Linked DNA regions of Notamacropus eugenii. The protein of the gene in region 1 interacts with the protein of each later gene in a pairwise test. Links are inferred from orthologs where the notes say so. Each region holds a gene or a part of one and is shown on either strand. Other genes may lie near its edges. The genes, in order: PPP1CA, RANBP9 and ZFYVE9.

Evidence for each region.
Region 2: the proteins of PPP1CA (region 1) and RANBP9 interact in a two-hybrid assay, tested with the Homo sapiens proteins (2 studies listed by BioGRID and IntAct). The link is inferred for Notamacropus eugenii from reciprocal best matches to the Homo sapiens genes PPP1CA and RANBP9.
Region 3: the proteins of PPP1CA (region 1) and ZFYVE9 interact in binary tests that used the Homo sapiens proteins (3 or more experiments, as listed by UniProt). The link is inferred for Notamacropus eugenii from reciprocal best matches to the Homo sapiens genes PPP1CA and ZFYVE9.

What each region holds. Positions count from the first base shown.
Region 1 is NC_092873.1:19,861,075-19,864,899, forward strand, and holds the start of PPP1CA (serine/threonine-protein phosphatase PP1-alpha catalytic subunit), read right to left. Parts: upstream 2,277-3,825; 5' UTR 2,184-2,276; coding exon 2,129-2,183; intron 1,951-2,128; coding exon 1,819-1,950; intron 1,434-1,818; coding exon 1,203-1,433; intron 1,079-1,202; coding exon 974-1,078; intron 827-973; coding exon 603-826; intron 523-602; coding exon 388-522; intron 300-387; coding exon 189-299; 3' UTR 1-188. Other genes in the region: TBC1D10C (carabin), read left to right, coding at 3,740-3,825. UniProt on the Homo sapiens protein: Protein phosphatase that associates with over 200 regulatory proteins to form highly specific holoenzymes which dephosphorylate hundreds of biological targets.
Region 2 is NC_092875.1:185,683,935-185,687,759, forward strand, and holds the start of RANBP9 (ran-binding protein 9), read right to left. Parts: upstream 2,776-3,825; 5' UTR 2,351-2,775; coding exon 1,777-2,350; intron 1-1,776. UniProt on the Homo sapiens protein: May act as scaffolding protein, and as adapter protein to couple membrane receptors to intracellular signaling pathways. Acts as a mediator of cell spreading and actin cytoskeleton rearrangement.
Region 3 is NC_092873.1:512,294,497-512,298,321, reverse strand, and holds the start of ZFYVE9 (zinc finger FYVE domain-containing protein 9), read right to left. Parts: upstream 2,354-3,825; 5' UTR 2,266-2,353; intron 2,098-2,265; exon of another isoform or gene 1,943-2,097; intron 1-1,942. UniProt on the Homo sapiens protein: Early endosomal protein that functions to recruit SMAD2/SMAD3 to intracellular membranes and to the TGF-beta receptor.

The DNA.
Region 1 (3,825 bases):
TCCAGCTCCCAGGATGGGGCGCTAGAGGGAGAACAGGGCAAGGCTAGAGGGAAGTAGACTATTTGATTTTGTTTTATAAAAGAAAATTACACCAAGGTTTGGTGCTCCCTGCAACTAGAGGCTCTCCTGGATGTCAGAGACCCCAGGAGGAGCCAGGATTTCTGTACAATCAGTCATGCCCACGACGGCTATTTCTTGGCCTTGGCAGAGTTACGGGGTGGGGTGATGGGGCGGCCACCAGGATTCAGGCCACTAAACTGCCCATATTTGCCTTTGTTCTTGTCGGCTGGCTTAAGGATCTGCGGAGAGATAGGGCTGGTCAGATGGGCTGCCCTGGGGAGAGGCTGGTCCCAGAAAGTTTCCCTCTCCAGCCCTGGGCTCACGCACCTGGAAAGAGCACATGAGGGTTTCATCCACACTCATCATGGCGCCTGCATTGTCAAACTCACCACAGTAGTTGGGGGCAGAGAAGAGGGTCACCAGTTGCCGCTTGGCAAAGAATTCATAACCATCTTCTACCACCTGGGCCAAAGCAAAGCCTGGTCAGCATCCCTCCCTCTGGGCCGGGCCAGGTCGTCCTGCCCCTAGCCCCAGTCCCTGACCTGGTGTGCTCTGCAGATGAGGTCCAGGTCATGTTTATGAAGGAACTTGGCCACCACCTCAGCTCCAAAAGTAAAGGAGACGCCACGGTCATTCTCCCCCCAGCCTTGCACGTCTTTGTCAGGGTCTGACCACAGGAGGTCACACAGCAGCCCTTGGTCCGGCACGTCTGTGGGCCTCATAATGCGCCGGATCTGCTCCATGGACTGTAGGTCTGGGGACAGTCCTGGAGAAGGCGGCCTCCTCTGAGCCCCTCAGCCCTGACTGGCCTGGTGGGTGACCACTCCCCTACCCCAGGCTGGAGACCCTCCCACCCTCTGGAAGAAGTGGGAGGTAGCCCCAGGGTCACAGTGCCCCACACACCAAGCCTCACCCCCGTGACAGCAGAAAATCTTCTCGTCTACGATGGCTGCAATAGGCAGGCAGTTGAAGCAGTCCGTGAAGGTTTTCCAGAGCTTTATGTTGTAGCGTCTCTTGCCTGTGAGGGAAGGAGAGGGAGCTCCATGAAGACAGGCTGCTAATGAGCCCTGGGGGCTGACCCCCCACTTAGCCCTGAGAAGGGCTCAACTACCCGTCCGCCCTTGTCCTCACCCCCCACTCACACTCGTCATAGAAGCCGTAGATGCGGTTGATGCTGGCACACTCGTGGTTCCCTCGAAGGAGGAAGAAATTCTCTGGGTACTTGATCTTGTAGGCCAGCAGCAGGCAGATGGTCTCCAGGGACTGTTTGCCCCGGTCCACATAGTCCCCCAGGAAGAGGTAGTTGCTCTCCGGGGGAAAGCCCCCGTACTCGAACAGTCTGAGCAGGTCATAGTACTGGCCGTGGATGTCACCTACGTAGGGAGAGGAGCCCGTGAACAGGGTGGGCCAATGACCCCCTGGACTCATGAAGAGCCCAGACCAGGGAGGGAAGGACCTCCAGGCCACTCCAGCTCCATTCAAAATCCCCCTTGGGAAGGCAACTGTCCTGGGCTCAGAGAGTGGGGCATGGGTGCCCAGCTCCCACTGCAGCCAATCACTGGCCCCGTCTTGACCCTGTTAGGCCCTGGGGGAGGGGGTAGGGTGCAAAGCACCACCGAGGCTTGGCCCAAACCCTACAAGGGGCTGGTCGAGAGGTGGGAGGGCGCCCTGGCTCAGACTCATCTCCCACCTCCAGGCCTTTGTAGAGGCCGTGTCCGGCGTACGGGCACTTCCGGCCGCCCCCCTCGGGGGTCTCACCGCAGATCTTGAGGGGTGCCTCGAGCTCGAGGAGGATGGGCTGGCTCAGGAAGATCTCCCGGGACTTGAGACACAGGCCGCGGATCTCGTTCTCCGTCAGCTGCACGTTCTTGCCGGGTCGGGAGCCCTGCACTGGACACAGGCCTCAGAGACCGCCTGCCCCCGCCCCCCCCCCCCCAGTTCCCGGGTGCCCCCCGCCCCCGCCGCACTTCCGCCCGGCCCCCACCCTCCCCTCCCGCGGGCACTTCCGGCGAAGCCCCGGCCCCGCTTCCGGCCGCCCCCGTCCGGGCCCCCGGGCCCCGCCCGGTACCTTCCAGCAGCCTCCCGATGATGGAGTCCAGGTTGAGCTTCTCGCTGTCGGCCATGGCGGCACCGCCCCGAGGGCCCCGGCTCCGTCCCTCCGGCCCGTGCCCGCCGCCGCCGCTCCCGCCGCCCGCTCACGCCGCCGCCGCCTCCGCCGCCGCGCCCTCCGCCCTCTGCCCGCGGCCTCAGCCCCCGCCCAGGCCCCGCCCCGAGCCGCGCGCCACAGCGCCGCCCTCCGGGCGGGAGGGGAGCAGCCGCGGCGGTGGCGGAGGAAGGCGGGACCAGTGAGCGATCGGAGGGCTCTTATAGGAGGAGGAGGAGACGAGGGGTGGGACCGGGAGAGAGCCGGCGGCCCGGATAGGAGGAGGGGAGGGGTGGGACCGACGAGTCAAGAGCCGGCCCCGACAAGAGGAGGAAAAGAAGCAGGAGGAGGGCTAGGGAGGGGCCCCAGCCAGAGCCGGAAAAGAGGCCGAGAACAGGGGCGGGACCAGGAAATGAAGAGGGAACTGGAAGGGGGAGTGGGCGGGGCCCGTGGTGGGAGAGGGGCGGGGCCTAGAGGGGGCCGAGAAAGAAGAGGGAAATGGGCCGCGAGGTGGCGCTTTGCCCACGGTGATCCTTCAAGCTGCGGGTTCGAATATGCCTTCGGACCGTTCCTCCCCAGCCCTAGACCCCTGGCTGCTCTCCCAACCTCTGCCTGCTTCCGTTTCCTAGTCTTTAAAATGGGGCTGTCAGGACTTTATAAGCCCTAGAGCGCTACAGAGACGTTCGCCTTGGTGGTGGTGGTGATGATGAGGGGGGAGGGGCGGGAGTTCGAGGGAAGACCAGGGAAGTGGAGCTGGAAGGAAGGGAGGCCTGGGGGGACCCTCCCAGCAGGGGACCCCCCCCCCCCGGGAACGCTCGGCCGCCTTCTGAGCCCTCGGGCTCTCCAGGACCCTGGACAGTGGCGCCGTCCCTGCCCCCCGGGCTCCCGCTTAGCTGTGGGCCAGCACGCAGGACCAGCCCCCACGTGGGAGCTGGAAGTCCGAGGAAGCCCACCCGTGGTCCATCCTGGGCTGGAGGCCGCGCCATGAGATTGTCAGATTCAGAACCACAAAGGGAGAAACTGAGTCCTAGAGAGTCGGAGGCTTCTGACTGCACAGGGCTTCCTTATGTGAGGAGGGAGGAGAGACCCCGCAGAAGCAGCTTCGGCAAGGTTGGGGGGGGGGGTCGGCCCTCTGGATATAAGGGTGATGGGGCAGGGGAGAGCCCAGCCATCCCTGGGGCGCAAGAAGGAAAGGCAGGTGGGGGGCAGGAGGCTGGGTCAGGGCAGGAAAAAGCGAGGGGCAGAGTGGGCCCCCACCCCCACCCCAGGGGCTACCCAGCTAAGGAGGAAATGATTCTGGGGAGGAAGTGAGAGAGCGCCAGCGCCCCAGAGGTGAGAAGAGGGGCTGAGCAAAGCAGCAGCGGTCTGAGGTGAGTCAGGTGTAAGCTGAGGAGGGGGAGCTCAGGTCTGGGCCTGGGGGTGAGGAGGAGGATGGACGAAGCTGGGTTGAACCTGGCCTGGGGGCTGCCAGCGACCTCCTGGTAACCCCGGGATGCTGGCTTCTGATTCTTTGCAGGAGCAGGGGGCAGGCCATCCATGGCTGCCGCCCTGGGGGAGGACCTGGCCCAGGCCCCTGATATCCAGGATGACTCCAGCTCCCTTGGCTCAGACTCAGAGCTCAA
Region 2 (3,825 bases), on another chromosome or scaffold:
TTAAAAAAGAGTGTAGTATTTTTGACATGTTGCTGACTTCACAAAACGCACATAAAATAATTCATTTTCATTATTCACTTTTAAAGTAGCTATTGAAATTGACTTAAACAATTAAGACCATATTTATGCCTAAGTTAAAGAAACTAAAGTCAATAAAAGTTCCTAGGATCTTTGCTTCATTGTACAGATGAGGAAGGTGAGGTCCGTGACGTGCTCAAGATCACATTAAATAATACAATCAAGAGTAATAGCTAAAATTAACTGACTCCAGTGGTTCTTTCCACCACACGACACTAAAACTGGTTTACATATATTTTTCCATTGACTGAAGTTTGTAATAAAAATGAGAATCTATCAAGTCCAACTTAGGAAACTTTTTTGGAAGTTATATCAAAGATAAAAACCATATCCACATAGCATAAAACCTCAGTAATAAAAATAGAAAGTTAAAAGTTTAACAACTAGTATATTATTCTGAAATTTTTAACAATGTAATTGTTTTAAATTGGCAATGCTGTCTAGAAGTGGCAAGAAAAAAATGAGGAAATCAATATTCAGCAACACCAGATTTAATGTATATGGGTCTTCTCAGTACAGCCAAATCATGCTAGCTATGTGCCTGTAGCCATTCTCCTTTATGATTAAACAGTAACTCATTTATCTAAGTCTGTCTCAAATTTCACCCTGTATACTTTAAAGATTTAACCACAAAGTTGTTTTTGCCCTCTATGTTCATCTGCCTAGGACTCCATCAAGACCCTCTCATTGCAGTCAATCAAAAAGAGGCTGTTTTGAACATGAAAGCTCTTATTTCAGGTCTTGGGCCTAAAACAGTATATTTGTTTCCAGATTTAATATTTATTGTTAGATGGATTTTTTTTAAAAAATAGGTCAGATTAATATATTTACTGTTCAGATTAACATAGCTGCTGTTTACTTTTCAGGGAATTTCAAGCCCTGTCTCCACACAATATGCAATTTTATTCACAGCTATTTTTTCAGAAAGCTTTGTTTTGAGAATGTCTGCTGACAGTCACAGAGATCTTGTAAATTAAAAGTATGTAATAGCAATATCAAGACATTAGCAAGTGTGAAATAATCTTGTTTCCACAACACTACCTCTATCTATATAAAAGTACAGATTACTTTAATGCTATTCCCCTTTCTACTACGTTTCAGTAGCCAAGATTTGTTTTTGTGGCTTCACCTTCCTGACACTTCCCTGTTGTGTCTGATGAAATACGTTGACTTCGAACTTGTGCCCTTGGTTCTTCCTTTTCTAAACAATTTCTGGCCTACTTTTCGGAAAAATCTTGCACTAAATAAACATCCATCTCCTTCGTGTTCCTGACCTCCATAGATAAGTGATTATACTTAAGATTCTTTTTATCCCTCCACCAAAAGAATTAAAGCGAGAATCCTGGGAGAACAATGTAACCACAACACAGAAGATAGAAGTTTGCTCTACTTTAAGAGAGATCAGAAAAGAGTTCTGTCCTGACATTGTTGCAAAAAATGTTTCCTTTCTGGATCCTTTCAAGGTGTCCTGTTACGGGTTCGAAGATTACTACATCTCTGCTCAGGATAATTATGCTCACTTTCCTTTCCCCAGGATCTTCCCAGTCCCTCGGATGCGGCCTGCCCCCACCTTTCTTTCCACCACCCTCCATCGCCGAATTTGAAACCCTTTGAAAACAAGTTCGGCAGCGAAAAAGCCTTTTAAAAACAAAAACACGGAAGTGGCGGGATTCCGGGTGGGGGGCCTAGGCCACTTACCTTTGTAGTGGACCCGCAGGTTGTTCTGCGAGAGGCCGATGTAGCTGAACTTGTCCTTCGGGCTCCACGAGCGAGGCAGCGGCGTCTCTTGCTCGTCCACCGCCGGGTAGAGACGCTTGAGCCGCCGCTGAAGCTCCTTCTCCTGCTCGTTCAGGGCCGGGTCCCCGTGGGGAAAGGGGGCCGGGGCGCTGCTCCCCGTGGCCACCGGCGGGGCCCCTCCGGCAGGGCTGGCAGCCGCCGAGATGCCGGGGGCCGGGGAAGCGGCGGCCGCGGCCGGAGGCGGGGGAGGCGGCGGCGGAGGCGGCGGCGGGGCCGCGGTGGCCGGGGGCGGCGGCGGAGGTGGCGGGTGCAGGAGCAGGGCGGCCGCCCCGGCCCCCACCCCGACGCCGCCGCCGCCGCTTCCTGCTGCCCCAGCCGGGGACGCGGCCGCGCCGGGGCCGACCGGAGAGGAGCCGGCACTAACGGGGGTGGGGGCTGGCAGGACGACCCCCGGGGCCGGAGCCACGGCCGGCAGCGGCTGCTGCTGCTGTTGTGGATGTGGATGCTGCTGCTGCTGCTGCTGCTGCCCGGACATCCCGATCCCGGCCGAGACTCACACCCCCGCCTCCGCCTCCTCCTCTTCTCCTTCTTCCTCCTCCGCTCTCCAGGGGCGCTGCCAGCACTGGCCCAGTCCGTCGGTCCGTCCGCCCGCCCCCACCCCCCCTCTCCCCGGAAGCAGGCGGCGGGCCCGCGCGCCTAGGGGTGAGCGCGGCGGTTGGGGGGCTCGTGGGGGAGGGGAAGCCGAGAAGACGCTGGGCTGAGAGCCGGGGATGGAGGAGCGGAGGGGGGGAGGTTGAGAGAAAGAACGTTGGCTCGAGCTGGGCAGTCGCGCGAGGCACGGAGACGGCCGAAGCGACGGAGGGAGATGGAGGGAGACGGAGGGCGGGCGGGGGGAGCGCGCGAGGGAACAGGCGGAGGAGGTCGGTGCTGCCGCCGCCGCTGCCGCTGCCGCTGTTAGCCTGCGGCGGACTCCGCCGGCGCAAGACGTAGCGCGCAGGCGGCGCTAGGCGAGAGAGGCGGGGAGAGGGGGGAGGGGCAGGGACGGAGGAACGGGGAGAGGGGCGGGGGGAGGGAGAGAGGGAGGAGAGAACGAGAGGGGGCGGGGAGGAACTGAAGGGAGGGCGCGCCGTAGGTCGGCCAAAGAGCGCGAGATCCCGGCGAGCTCGGCGGGCCTGGTCCCCGGAGGGTGGAGAAGCGGGGAGGGCTGCCGGAGGCGCTGCGGTCTGTGCGCGATGAGGGGGAGGGGGAGGAGGCGGTAGAGTGGCCTGGCAGCCAGTGCGCGCACGCGCGAGTCCGATCAGCTGGGCTTCTCCCGGGGATGCCTCGGGGACTCACCACTTGAGTGATCCCCGCGTCCCCTTCACGCCAGGAAGGAGCTCTGGGTTTCGCGGCGTGCTCTCTTCCACGCCACCCTCCCCCTCGTCCTCTCCTTTATTTCTCGGGTCCGCCTTTCCCCCAGCCAACCCGCCGCTCCGGCTCCTCTTCTTCCCCCTCCTACTTGTACTTCTTTTTGTTTTGTCGCCCTCCTCCCTCCACCAGCGGCGGCTCTAGCCGCAGCCTCTCGCTTAGGCTAGAGTAATCGAGTGCTGGTGTCGGTGCAGCATCCCCTCAGCCCGCAGCGCTGAGCACCCACGGGGCAGAGCTGAGTGCCCCCCAGCAGGCCACTTCGGAGTGGTGCCGGCTCCGGACAGGCCGGAGAGCCCGGCCGTGCCCGCTCGCCCTGTCTGCTTACACTTGTTCGGGATGTAGACAGTAGCTTCAGAAGTCCCTACAGGAATCCTGAGTTTGCAATTAACAAACACATTAAGAATTCCTGTGACGCCAAGAAAAAGTAACAGTTTTTCTTTGGACTTTGTTTAGAGCTTGCTCCTCATCCTCGAGTGTCCTTTCTGCTCAGTCTTCCTCACCTGTGAAATGCGTGAATTACACTAGCTGACATCTAAGGTTCCTTGCAACTCTAAAATCCTATGATGGTCCTCTCCCAGCACATATAAACTTTACATTTTTCAT
Region 3 (3,825 bases), about 490 Mb from region 1:
AGAGCAAGAAGTAAAATTTGAACCTAGTGCTACCTCAAGTCCTTGTGGAATTTGCAGAGATGTTCTGCCATACTTCCATCCTGAAACCCACCTGAAGAACAAGGACATTATACTACAGCTGGTTGAGCTAGGTAAGTTGATAAAGTGCCAGCGTATTTTAATAATGTTGAAGGAGTGGGGAAAACATAGAAATACTTTCATTTTTTACCAAAAATCTATCTGTTGAGTACTTCAGTGGGTTATCAAAGGAAGATGCCTAATATTCTCTCATGGAGATATTTAAGAAACGAAGAAAGGCCAATTTACCAGGATGGTCTGGAGGAAAGATAATGTAATAGAGCACAGAAGGTTCCTTCTGGTGCTGCAACTACAATAGTGTGATCAATAAAATCTCATCTTCATGTTCCATTGCTCTCTAGTTTAGAACAATGATAATGAAATAACACCCAAATGGATGTGGAATCTTTTAGATAGGAGCTTCAACTGCAGAATCTCAGCCCACCACGCCGTTCAATCCCATGTGCCTCTTGTCCAGGTGTTTCCCTCAATTTACCACAGAGTCTCACCTAACCTAGAGAGTTTGTCTATGAGACTAAGCAGCTAGGTGTCTAAATACAAAGAGCACCTGGCCTGGAGGAAGGAAAATCTGAGTTCAAATCCGGCCTCAGACACTTACTAGCTGCATGACCCTGGGCAAGTCTCTTCACCCTGTTTGCCTAGGTTTCCAAATCAGTAAAGGAGCAGGAGAAGGAAATGGCAAACCATTCCAGGATCTTTGCCAAGAAAATCCCAAATGGGGTCACCAAGAGTCAAACTCAACTGATCAATAACACACATACATATATATATATATATATATATATATATATATATATATATATATATATATATACTTAAATAAAACAGCAAAAGTAAAACAAATTGGGTTGCCTTCAGGAAATCACAAAGCTCCTTTAATGACCTAAGTTCTCCCAGAAACAAATGCACATCTCTTTAATACCAATAATTTAGTGGGGATATAAGGTTGAGTCAATTAAATAATAGAATCATAAAGTCTCCCAAGTCATAAAGTTGATACACCTTATGTACTCTATTAAACCACAAATAATGACAAACTAGCGTTGAAGCTTCAATCCAAAAAGTAGAAAATGTCCTCTCTCCAAAGTCACTCTTTGTAAAAGACGTTTACCTATTCACAGTAGGTCAAGGTGAAGACAAGAAAATGCTATATTCACATTTTCCATGAACACCTTATTTATGGTATCACATTGTAATCAGTAACGTTCTTTTTCCACTAATATGCAAAGAAGATAATTCATTTCTAAAAATTAAGATCTATTCCGTTGCCATCTGGTACCTGTTCAGTGGCTAGTTAGAGCGATAAAAAACCACCCCTCCTCCGCCACTCATCATCTGGACCTACTTAGCAGTAACCTGGAGGACTCCTCAGGGAGGTCCTGCCCTGCTCCGGAACAGCCCCCACTGCCCAGCCCACCTCTTTATCACAACTGGAGGCTGCCCCCGGGCCGCCAAGCAGGGCTTAGGGGGGTGCCAGCCTTCGGGGCTGCGGGGAGGCCAGGTGCCCCCGGGCAATGCGGGGTGGCGAAGCACCAGTTGCTCCCGGAGGTTCTCCTGCCCACGAAGGGGCTCTGGGGTGCCGGGGCAGCCCGAGCCGCAGGGCCAGGAGGTCGCGGGCAGGGCCTCGAACTGGATGCCGGCGAGGTGCCAGCCCCGGCGCGCCCGAGGATGCCCGGGGATTTCCCCACAGAGGCATCACATGCGCCCACGCGCAGCCCACGCAAACATACACACAGTCCCTCCGCCCGCAGGGCTGGGGTCTCTCTGGGAGGCCCAACAGGGGGACCCGGGGCCCAGGGGAGCCCTCCCCCCCTCCCCGGCAGCGGGGGGCTGCGGGTCCGGGAAGGCGTACATGCGTACGTACGTGTGAGTGCTGCGTGCCCGCATATGCCGCGTACATGTGTGGGGGTGGGGGGCCGCTCACATATGCGTAGGTTGGGCCCGCGCTGGGTGGACCTGGGTGCCGGGATCCCTGCGTGTGCCGGGCATTGTGTGCCCGTGGGCGAGGGGACGGCGGGGGAGGGGGCAGCGGGCTCCCGGGCACTGCCACCTCCCCCCGCGCCCCGGCCCCGATGCGGCTGCCCCTCCGCCCCCCACGGAGACCCCCGCGGGCGCGGGCGGGGTGCGTGAGCGGGCCGCGCGTTCCCGCGCCCCCCTCCCCCCGGCTCGCGCCGCGCGCGCACTTACCGCGGGCCGCCGCTCCCGCCGCCCGGGTCCGCATGGCCGGGGCCCCCGCGCCGGGGCCGCCTGGGGAGGGCGCAGCCCCCGCGCCCGCCGCCGCTGCCGCCCCGCGCCGCCCGCTCCGCATTGGGCTCCGGCCCCGCCCGACCGGCCCTGGCTCCGGCTCCGGGGCCGGGCCCCGAGCGAGGGACTCCCGCACCGAGGAGGGAGCGCAACTCCGGCCGCCGCCCCTGCCGCCCGGCCGTCCTCCCTCTCCGCTCCGGTGCCGGTCCTGGTCCTGGTCCTCCGGCCGCCGCGGCCGCCCCGCCCCGCAGCGCCCCCTGGCCGGGGCTCGGGCTACGGCGCCCGGACTGACTGCGGCGGCCGCCGACGGGGGCGGGGCGGCCGCGGGGGAGGAGGGAGGGGGGAGGGGGGAGGAGGGAGGCGGAGGGAGCCCGAGGCGAGGCGGGCGGGGCCGGGCCGGGCCGGGCCGGGCCGCGCCGCCTGCCGCCGCACTCCACCTAGGCTTAGCACGGCCGCCGCCTTAGCAGCTGCCGCTGCCAACTTGGCCAGCCTGCACGGGCATGGCTTAGAGGGCGGGCCCGAGGCCCAGCTCCGACCCCTTGAGGGGATGGGGCTGGAGACGGGCTACTATCCCTGCCAGTCCCAAAAGAGGCAATCGGAGACCCAGGGCCAGGAGCGAGGAGAGGGGTCCGAGCCTGGCCCCCAGCTCCGCCCCCAAAGGAGCAGAGGCTCCGCCCCCAACGGAGCAGAGACCCCCCCCCCCCAGCTCCGCCCTCAAAGGAGCAGAAGGGTCCGAGCATGGCCCCCTAGCTCCGCCCCCAAAGGAGCAGAGGCCCCCCCCCCCAGCTCCGCCCCCAACGGAGCAGAGGCGCCCCCCCCCCAGCTCCGCCCCCAAAGGAGCAGAGGCCCCCCCCCAGCTCCGCCCCCAAAGGAGCAGAGGCCCCCCCCCAGCTCCGCCCTCAAAGGAGCAGAAGGGTCCGAGCCTGGCCCCTAGCTCCGCCCCCAAAGGAGCAGAGGCCCCCCCCCCAGCTCCGCCCCCAAAGGAGCAGAAGGGTCCCAGCCTGGCCCCTAGCTCCGCCCCCAGGGAGAAGGGGGCTCCTAGCCCAGCACCAAGGCTGATGTGCTGGGAGGATTCCTCAAGGGAAGGCTTTTGGCTCGGCCTCCAGGCATCCCGTCACCATGAAGACCCCTCCTAGGCGCTAGTAATGGAAGGCAACACGGCCACTGTCCCTGCCTTCAAGAAACTTCCATTCCTAGAGCTTCCTGCACCGGACAAATAGAAACTAGAGACAGGACAGAGGAGGTACCCCCATCCCTATAAACTCGGTCAATGCAGGATTATGCTCCAGCACGTGGAATGGGTCTTTGTAGGAGGAGCACGTGGAGCTGAGTTTTGAAGGAAGCTAGAGATTCTTTATTTTTTTTAAGTAAGTACTTATTGATATCTTCAGTTCTTGCATCCTCACAGTTATTCCCAGCATTCTATCCCCTTCCCTTCCCATAGCAGCACCGAGCAGAGGAGGCAGCAGCCAGAGCGGGCACCTGAACAGGGTCGGCACCATA